Callithrix jacchus: one gene and its partner. The protein of the gene in region 1 interacts with the protein of each later gene in a pairwise test. Links are inferred from orthologs where the notes say so. Each region holds a gene or a part of one and is shown in the gene's direction. Other genes may lie near its edges.

Evidence for each region.
Region 2: the proteins of TANK (region 1) and PLK1 interact in binary tests that used the Homo sapiens proteins (3 or more experiments, as listed by UniProt). The link is inferred for Callithrix jacchus from reciprocal best matches to the Homo sapiens genes TANK and PLK1.

The regions. Positions count from the first base shown.
Region 1 is NC_133507.1:68,573,848-68,578,822, reverse strand, and holds part of TANK (TRAF family member-associated NF-kappa-B activator), read left to right. Parts: intron 1-520; coding exon 521-597; intron 598-1,235; coding exon 1,236-1,351; intron 1,352-4,975.
Region 2 is NC_133513.1:24,292,654-24,297,628, forward strand, and holds part of PLK1 (serine/threonine-protein kinase PLK1), read left to right. Parts: intron 1-3,768; coding exon 3,769-3,924; intron 3,925-4,975. UniProt on the Homo sapiens protein: Serine/threonine-protein kinase that performs several important functions throughout M phase of the cell cycle, including the regulation of centrosome maturation and spindle assembly, the removal of cohesins from chromosome arms, the inactivation of anaphase-promoting complex/cyclosome (APC/C) inhibitors, and the regulation of mitotic exit and cytokinesis.

The DNA.
Region 1 (4,975 bases):
AAACCTTTTAAATGCTTGTTGAATTATAAGGAGCTATAGCTTGGTTTTCTTTCTTCCTCTAATACAGCTGCATTCTTCAGCAAAGAATCTATAACAAAAGACAAACACATTGATTTAAATATATAGACCATTTTTATTGAATATGAAAAGAAGTAAACACATAGATTTTTTTTCTTTCCTAAGCTTCTGGGCGTATGAGGTGCTTGGTGAACAGGGCAGCAATTTTGATTAACAGTTGAATTTGAGAAATTTCTTGAATTACCAGTACTGGAAATAGTAATAGAAGTTACCAGAAACATTTCATCACTTCACACTTTCTTGCTTTATTTTCCTTTTTCCTTGACTTTTCTTATTTAAAGAAAAAAGTCAATTGGATATTACATATAGATCTATAAACTGCCTCAAGTTATTTTCAGTAGGGAAGGTAAATAAATTTTCCTTTGTGTTTTCTCTTTACTCGATCTCATTTGAATTTGGAAGCAATTTAAAGTAGTAATACTAATCATTTTGTGTTTTTAAGGTAAGAAGACAAGAGGTTTCTTCTCCTAGAAAAGAAACTTCAGCAAGGAGTCTTGGTAGTCCTTTGCTCCATGAAAGGTAATTCTACATCCTTCTTCGCCAACTCTGAAAAATTATCAATACTGAAATATGTTTTACATTTATATATTTTAAGCTTTAACAATTACAAGAAAATAGCAGCCTTTTAGAATAAGTGGAAGTGACCAACCCCAGGGCCTTTCATGTTAAAAATGACCTAAATAAGTCATACAGTTAATAGCAAAGCTGATCTAAAACTTGAATTCTCTAAAGCTCGACTGTTTAAATTGGCAAATATTAAGGCCATATTTCTTTATATGGATGAATCCTAATGTGAACTTTACCAAAATGAGGAATATTTAATATTCTATTTAAGATGTTTGCAGAGAACAAAAGTCAGTGCATCAGAATTTCTAATGTAGAATAAGACGTCCAGTATTAGCATATATATGAATAAGCAGATATGCTAGACTATACTACATGTATGTACTAGAACTTTTAATTTATCACTTAATTTGTGCCTGGATTTCTACAAACACAAGCTGGTTTTGGTGACATTGTCTAGGAATTTAAAATAATTTTTTTTAACTTTTAAATAATTATTTTATGGCACATAAAATGGTACTACATAAGATTAATTATTTTAAAAACTTGGAAGTTATAGCTTTACATTTTAAAATGTTGATTTTTTTTTTAAGGGATAATATAGAGAAGACTTTCTGGGATCTGAAAGAAGAATTTCATAGAATTTGCATGCTAGCAAAAGCACAGAAAGACCACTTAAGCAAACTTAATATACCAGACACTGCAACTGGTAAGATTTAATTTAATTTACAGTAATATTGATTTTATTGATTGAAATTGATTTCTTTTTGAATGTGAAAATATTTTTGAATGCCTATTAAGTGTGTGGCATCTGTAAGTTACCCCTCATCCACATATATTTAAATGTGTACATGCTATGTAAGTTCTGTAATGTATTACATATGTAATTGTTGGGTTTTTTTCTCTTTTTTATATATGGTACTATGAAGATTGAATTGAAAGACATAATTACTAATTATCTTAATAAAAAATCCCATCTTTAAAAAATATGAATAAATATAGAATATATCCCTGGAAGTTTTCAGTTGTTGTTTGCATGTTAATAAGTGACTTGAAGCCACACTACCATATTATATGAGCTAAGTAAAACTATAACATCAGGTTTGCTTGTAACTTCTGCCTGAAAGTTCATTACATATACTATGGATAGATGTGGTTTTGTTTTTTGGGGTTTTTTTTTTTTTAATTAAATACAAGATCTTGCTATGTTGTCCAGACTGGAGTACAGTGGCTATTCACAGACATGATGGCACACTACAGCCTTGAACTCCTGGGCTCAAGAACTCTGAACTAATTTGGTTCAAGAATAAAAATGTGGCACTCAAATTTCCTGAGTGCTAGTCCTGTTGAATGCACAAAATACACATTTAGTATAAAATACAACTTAGAAGGAACATTTGTTTTACACATGTGTTACAGTATATTTTTTAAATGCTGTGCCCTCCCTTAAAACCCCACCCTGGCTTCCTAGTGTTTGCTTTAGTAGTTCAATATGAATAGCAAAATATAAGGGATTAGGTCTGGCAACCAAACACTTCTCTAAACAAAAGGAAGGTAAACTGATCATTTATAATGATAAATTCTCCTTTACTCTTGTGATTTGAGCTATTCTGCAAACAATTCACAAGAGAAATGATTTACAGTTTTCACTGTGAAAGATGTTGCAGTCTTGGTGACTAATACCCTTTTAATTAAAGATCATTTTCTATTTCTTATAGCTCTTACATCTAGGCTATTTAAAATCATTTTGTAGTATAAATTCACTTTTTGCTACTACTACCATTTTATTTTCAGAAAAGTTACACAATGTGTTATTAGAAAAGCAAAACGGTCTTTGTAGACAGATATAATTTGGTTCTTTCTTTCCCTTCCCCTACCTCCCCAAAAACCCTCCACCTTAATTTTTGTCATTTTCATGAGAAATTGATCTTTTGTATGGACTAAAGATACTAGGTACCTCTGAAGTAAATGAATTATTTCTGTTTAAAATATGCTAGCTATGGAGATATAGTACCTAGAATTCATAAACATGCTTTTTTTTAACATCAACATCTTATTAAGGCATTGTAATGGTGATATATTCTCGGTTACACAGAAAACTTACCTCATTATCAATGGCTTAATCCTTTGACCATTTTTAAATTGCACAGGTCTAAATCTGAGTATGTATCTGTCAACTAGAACACTGAGTGTTTAACTTCAATTTCTTCTCCACTAAAACTGCTTCCTTATGCTTTATTTTTATGCTTTATGTTAACAGTGTCACAAATAATAAACACATTATTCTCAAAATATTTTAGATATTTTGTGCTACAGACTCTAGTGAAGTTTTGCTGGGGTCCAAAGACAAACCAAACTAAATATGCTCTGATAGTAGTATATCAAAAGGAGAAATAAAAAAATATTGTTTAAAAGATGCCTATTCAGGGGTTCCAAATATGTATGCTACACTGTATAAAAATATAGAAGAACTATTTCAAATATAATTTGCATGCTATATCTGGGAAAAGGCATGTGTATTGTCCCTGTGTTATTTTGTATTAAAATTTTATTTTTACTTTTAAATAACCAGATATGATTCATTTGAAAATACTGAGTTAGTAGAATTATACATTTCCTTTTTATTATTAAATACTTTGTTTTTGTCTACTCATCTGCATATGGCAGTAGACTTCAGAGAGGATAACAATAAAAGCTATATATGTTTGTCCATAGCTTCAAAAAAACTGTCTGGTTCATAAAGGAGTGTCCAATTTCAATGGAGATTAGGAAAGAAGAATATAGGATTAAGAGTAACAAACAACCATGAGGTCTTTTTCTTTTGTCAATATACAAAATAATTATACTGAGAAGTAATCTAAATGAATAAGCCTGTATTTAAAATTTGGAAATCTAAAAATGTTTCTCATTTTACTTTTTTCCTTATAAAAATAGGTATTCTTAAAATAGACAAAATAGAAAAGCTATTTGCTCACCTGATCATCTTTCTCAATATGGTGTCAGGATGACAAGTGCTTTCATGCATCTCATTTGAGTTTTAAGTTGTCTCAGCTTAGATTTCTAGTAGCATTAGGAATCTTAGGCATAAATTTTTAATAGATATTAACTCTCACTACTTGAGCAGATTAATTCAGATTATTTTAATGTGGCTGAGGTTTTATGCCAGCTAGCTTTGCTGAAAGAAAATATCTGCTTTTTCAGAGCCATTTCATTTCTCCACATTTTGTTCAAAAGGGAGATAGATCAACTGCTAGAAAAATAATTCAAAGCACATTTCTGTCAATTTGGGGACTTCTCTCTATATATAGAAACCAACATGTTCAATTTAGCATAATAGTTCAGAGCACAAATCTAGAGTTAGGTTGCCTGGGTTCCAGGTGCAGATGTACCACTTACTATTACAGTTGTGTGGCCTTTAAATTAACCTCTCCAACCAGTGTCTTCACGTGGAAAGTGGGGATAATAATAGTGCCTACCTCGGGATTACTTTGAGTATTGAATTAATGTACATACAATAATTATAATAGTGCATGCCATGTGGAAGTGCTATTAATGTTAATAGTCATTGCTATTAGCAGCAGCAGCTGATTCTTCGGCATTCACCTTGTTCTCCTTATGAAGATCATTTGATAAGTCTCTCCTCTTCAGGTATTACAGAATCTGATTACCTCACAAGTTAGTTTTCCTGATTTGTTGTTTGCAAGTAGCAAATGCCATCTACAAAGACAGTACTGTTTCCTAGACTTTTCTGCCACTTTCAAGTCTACTGCCAGGAAAAATGACTACTCAAGAGTTAATGGACTTTAAGAACCTCAGAGGCTAAAGAAATCCAGCTAAACAATTAAGCTTCGTCACAATTACTATATCATTCCTAGTCACAGAGTATCTGGTAAATGTTTATTATTATAGTAGGCTCTGTAGGGGAGAGATTACAGATTCATTCATAATTCATTTGTTAGGGGCATACTATGTGCCAGGCACTGGGCTAGAGTCTGGAGTTAGAGGGAAACAAAACATAGTTTAAGACCTCGAAAAGCCTACTTTAATGGAAGAAAGAGAGTTAAACTTGGAAATACAGTTATGTGGCGAATGACATTTTCAATCAACAACAGATTGCATATACAATGATGGCCCCATAAGATTATAATGGAAGTTAAAAGTTCCTATCATCATAGTGACATTGTAGCTGTCATAACATTGTAGCACACTTTTTTTTTGTAAATTTATTGTAACCTAAGTGTATAGTGTTCATAAAGTCTACAGTGATGTACAGTAATGTCCTACGCCTTCACATTCACTCACCATTCACTTTCTGACTTGCTAAGAGCAGCCT
Region 2 (4,975 bases), on another chromosome or scaffold:
CTGGCTAATTTTTCTACTTTTTGTAGAGACAGTGTTTTGCCATGTTGCCCAGGCTGGTCTTAAAACTCCTGGACTCAAGCGATCCTCCTACCTCCGCCTCCCAGTGTTGGGATTACAGGCATGAGCTGCTATGCCAGGCCTTTAAAAATATTTCTAACACTTTTACATGGTTCATTGAAAAAAATTTCCTTTTTTTTTTAGAGATAGGGTCTGGCTCTGTCCCCCAGGCTAGAGTGCAGTGGTGTGATCTCGACTCACTGCAACTTCTGCTTCCCAGGCTCAAGCCATCCTCCCATCTCAGCCTCTCAAGTAGCTGGGACTACAGGCATGTGCCACCATGCCCGGCTAATTTTTTGTATTTTTAGTAGAGATAGGGTTTTGCCACATTGCCCAGGCTGTTCTTGAACTCCTGAGCTCAAGTAATCTGCCCGCCTCAGCCTCCCAACATGCCGGGATTACAGGTGTGAGCCACTGCGCCCAGCCAGCATGAAAATTTTCAAGTACACGTATAGAGCATAATGTAATAGATCCCCTCATACTTACTAGATTCAGTAATTAGTTATCAGGATTTTGTCAAGTTTGCTTCATTTATTTATTTTTGTCCTTTGAAGTCTTTTTTAAAGTTAACCTTGGCTCTCTGCCATTTTACACCTATATAAACTTCAGAATGCTTCTCTTAAAAAAGATGAACGTTCTCTTAAAAATCAAAAAACCGCATGCCATTGCTTAGGTTGTCATTGCTTCTAGGTCTCTTCAGAGAACAGAATTAGGAACTGCATTTATAGCAGTGGGGGAAGACTGACATTGAGTCTGTGATGATATTTCCTAATCACACATTTTTAAACAATTTATTCTGATATTTTTGCAAGCTTATGAAAAAGGTAGCATAGATCAAAAATGCACTCCTATTCTCCCCTTTTGCCCAGATTCACCAGTTAGCACTTTTTTCCACATTTGTTTTATCAATTACTCTCTTTTTTTCTGAACATCGAAAAGTTATATATGTCCTACACTTCACCCTTAGTGCTTCAGTGTATGCTTCCTAAAAACAGATTCTTTTACCTAAGGATAGTACATGGCACAGTTCCCAAGTTCAGGAAATTTAACATTGATACATATGTCTTATAGCCGATCTTCTCTACTGGGAAGTTACTGCTTTTGGTAACTTTTAAGTGTCTGATTTAGACACGATGTTAATCTGTTTTTACTTCTTTGGTTTATACTTGCATTTCTTTTCTCTTAAACTGAAAATCTTGTTTCCTTATACATTAATATACTTAAAATTTTCAACATCTATGAATTCCTGTTAAATGGTATTTATTTTCTTGCAATCCTAATTGTCCTTAAAGTATATTTCACTAAGGATATATAGTTTTAAAAAGTCACTTAAAATACTTTTTTTTCTCTATGGATATATCACCCATTTGATGTACAACTTAAGTTCATTTTTCAGTTTTCAATTTTTAGGTATTGGTTTTTCTTAAACTTCATTTTGGAATTATTTTAGGCTTATATAGAAAAGTTGCAACAACAAAAAGATCCCCAGAGTTTCCATATACCTTTCAGAAATTATTACAGTGGAATTTTTTTTTGAGATGGTTCTTAGAACTTGCTGTCACCCAGGCTGGAATGCAGTGGCTCAATCATAAGTCACTTCAGCCTCAACATCCTGGGCTCAAACAGTCCTCCTGCCTCAGCTTCCAGAGTAACTAGGACTATAGGTATGGGTCACTATACCCAGCTAATTTAAATTTTTTTTTTCTTTGGGAGGCCAAGGTGGACAGATTGCCTAAGCTCAGGAGTTCGAGATCAGCCTGAACAACATGGCAAAACCCTGCTTCTACTAATAATACAAAAAATTATCCAGGTGTGGAGGTGCACGCCTGTAATCTCAGCTACTTTGGGAGGCTGAGGCACAAGAATCACTTGAACCTGGGAGGTGGAGGTTGCAGTGTGCCAAGATCTCACCAGTGCACTCCAGCCTGCACGACAGAGCAAGACTGTCTCAAAAAAAAAAAAAAAAAAAAAATTTTTTTTTTGTGGAGACATGATCTCACTATGTTGACCAGGCTTGTCTCAAACTCCTGCCCTCAAGTGATCCTCCCTCGCCTCCCAAAGTGTTGGGATTACAGGTGTGAGCCACTGTGCCCTACCTACAGTGATATTCTAATGGCAATTTTTCTTTTCCTTAGTTTTTCTACATTTAATAATTGGAATTCTTCTGTAAGGAAGTGCTATTCCTTCTCTCCCATTGATTTATTTGGTTATGTCTGAAATAGACTCATGGATATTTTATTCTTTGGGCTATATTTTAAAGGATTACTTATTTCTCTCTTTTTTAAAAATTTATTTGAAACAGAGTCTTGCTCTGTCGTGCAGGCTGAAGCGCAGTGGCACAATTGTACCTCACTGTAGCTTTGACCTGAGTAGCTAGGACTTTAAGCGTGTGCCACTACATCTGACTAATTTTTAAACTTTTTGTAGAGATGAAGTCTCGCTCTGTTGCCCACGCTGGTCTTGAACTCCTGAGCTCAAGTGATCCTCCTGCCTCAGCCTCCTACTTTTTTTCTTTCAGTTTTAATTTTTCATATAGCACTTTTAAAACTTAAGGAAATTTCCAAACTTACCCAAAGGTAGAACTGTATGATGAATCCCATGTTTCATCTATTTTTACTAATTATCACCATTTGGCCAGACTTGTTTTATTTATTCCACCCTCCTGCCTTTTTTTAACTGGAATTTTGGAAATTATTTATTTATTTGAGATAGTTTTGCCTTGTTGCCCAGGCTTGAGTGCAGTAGCAAGATCATGGCTCACTGCAGCCTCAACCTCCTGTGTTCAAGTGATTCTCCCATCTCAGCTTCCCAAGTAGCTGGGACTTACAGGTATTGTGCCACCATGTCCAGTAGTTTCTGTATGTTTCGTAGAGACAGGGTTTCGCCATGTTGCTTCGGCTGGTCTCAAGCTCCTGAGCTCAAACAGTCTACCTGCCTCAGCTTCTTATTGTGCTGGGATTACAGGTGTGAGCCAACTGCCCCGGGCTTGCTGGAGTGTTTAAAGCAAATCCCTAATATCTTATTATTTCACCCCTAAGTCCCTATGATGGCATAGTGTTTTGGTTTTTTTTTTGAACAGCTCCTTGCTATATCATGGCATAGTTTTTAATTGAAAACTTCTTTAGGAAACATTTTACATTATACAAGGAGAACTAGCAAATGTTGATAGGGGAATAAACAAATAAGGAAAAAGGCAATAAAAATAATCTGTGCTTCTACTGCCCAGATATAACCAGTGTTAAAATTTCATGTATCTTTTCATGCGTTTTTTGATTATAAACATATAAAGCAAATTTTAGAGTAGAAAAAAATCTCTTGTGTTTTTATTTAAATGCCTATTGAATCCATCCTGCGGGTGAACTGAGACTACTCAGCCCTCCCATCTGCTTAGATGTGGAAGACGCTTTTAAGTCTTTGCTTGAAGCTGGGCAGCTCTGAGTTGCTGGTGGCTTCAAGCTGTTTGTCTGGGTGGCAGGTGGTATCCTCCAGGGCCACGCCGTTGGGTCACAGGCTAGAGCATCTGAAGATCTGTTGCCTCACAGTTAGCACGTGTGCCTGTCACCTGAGCATGGCAGCTCCTGCTCTATTGACCAGGCACTGACTCAGTTTCCCCTAAGCAGTGGTAGCTAAGATTTTTCTTTCAGAAAAGTTTCAGCTGTGGCAGGGAGTCCTGTGCCCTTCCCAACGCCCCTGTTTTTGTTACCCTCCTAGGCTTGGAGAACCCCCTGCCTGAGCGTCCCCGGGAAAAAGAGGAACCAGTGGTTCGAGAGACGGGTGAGGTGGTCGACTGCCACCTCAGTGATATGCTGCAGCAGCTGCATAGTGTCAATGCCTCAAAGCCCTCAGACCGTGGGCTGGTCAGGCAAGGTGGGTACTGTGGGCCCTGTGTAGGGCAGGATTGCTTGGGGCATCTGGAGAAGGCAGGAATCTTGGCCAGCAAAGCACTGGTGACTTATCCAGGCCCTGTCTCCATAGGACCATTGGTTTCCCCATTTCCTGACATCCAAGGTCCTGCATGCTGTGGCTCCTGCCTTCTTTTCTGATCCGTCTCTTACTTTAGCACCTTGATATGCCACCTTCATATGCTGTTTCTTTTGCTCAGTAAGTTCCTATTGTTTCTTCAAGACACTTGAAATAACAGGCCCAGATGGGCTGCAACCTCAGGGCTTTCACACCTATGGCTCCCTGGCCCTGTCATGAAAGCAGACACTAGCTTTCATGGCTCACACTGTGGCCTCCTTCAAGTGTCTGCTCCAGTGTCACCACTGTGAGCATCTCCCTGGCCTATCTGCTAGTGCTTCTCATCCTCTTGCCCGCTGCATAGTTCTCCATAATACTTCTCACCCAACATAGTCCAACATATCCATCTTTATTTATTGGATTTTAAATAAGGGATTTGTTGCATGCACTGAACATAATATTTTGATGTGTTTGCAACTGGCTTCTGTCTTCACAGTTTCTTAATTATTCCAAACTGGAAAACTAGATAATATCGTCCTCTGACTCTTACCATAATAGAAGTCACTGACATTTTGCCCATACTTAATTTGATTAGTCTTTGTCCCTACAGCCACAGTGTAAGCTCTGTGGAGGCTGGGGTTTTGTCTGTTGCTCACTGTACATGTGACAGTGCCTGGCAGGCATAGTAGGCCTTCAATAAATGAATCAGTCAGTGGAATGAAGGAATGAGTGGAACTTGTCGTTCTGTGCTGAGATTTTCTGTGTAGATGTCTGTGCTGCTGCTTGTCTAAGCCTGTTAGCAGTAGAGGCCCTGCTTTGCTCTTCTCTGGGACCCCAGGCCTCTCAACTCAGCCCAGGTGGAGTGCTCAGCAAGATTCCCTGTTCCCTGGTGTGGGCCACATGTGTGAACCAGAGGGGAAGAGGCTGGTCCTGACCAATTGTTTGTCTGTTTCTGTCT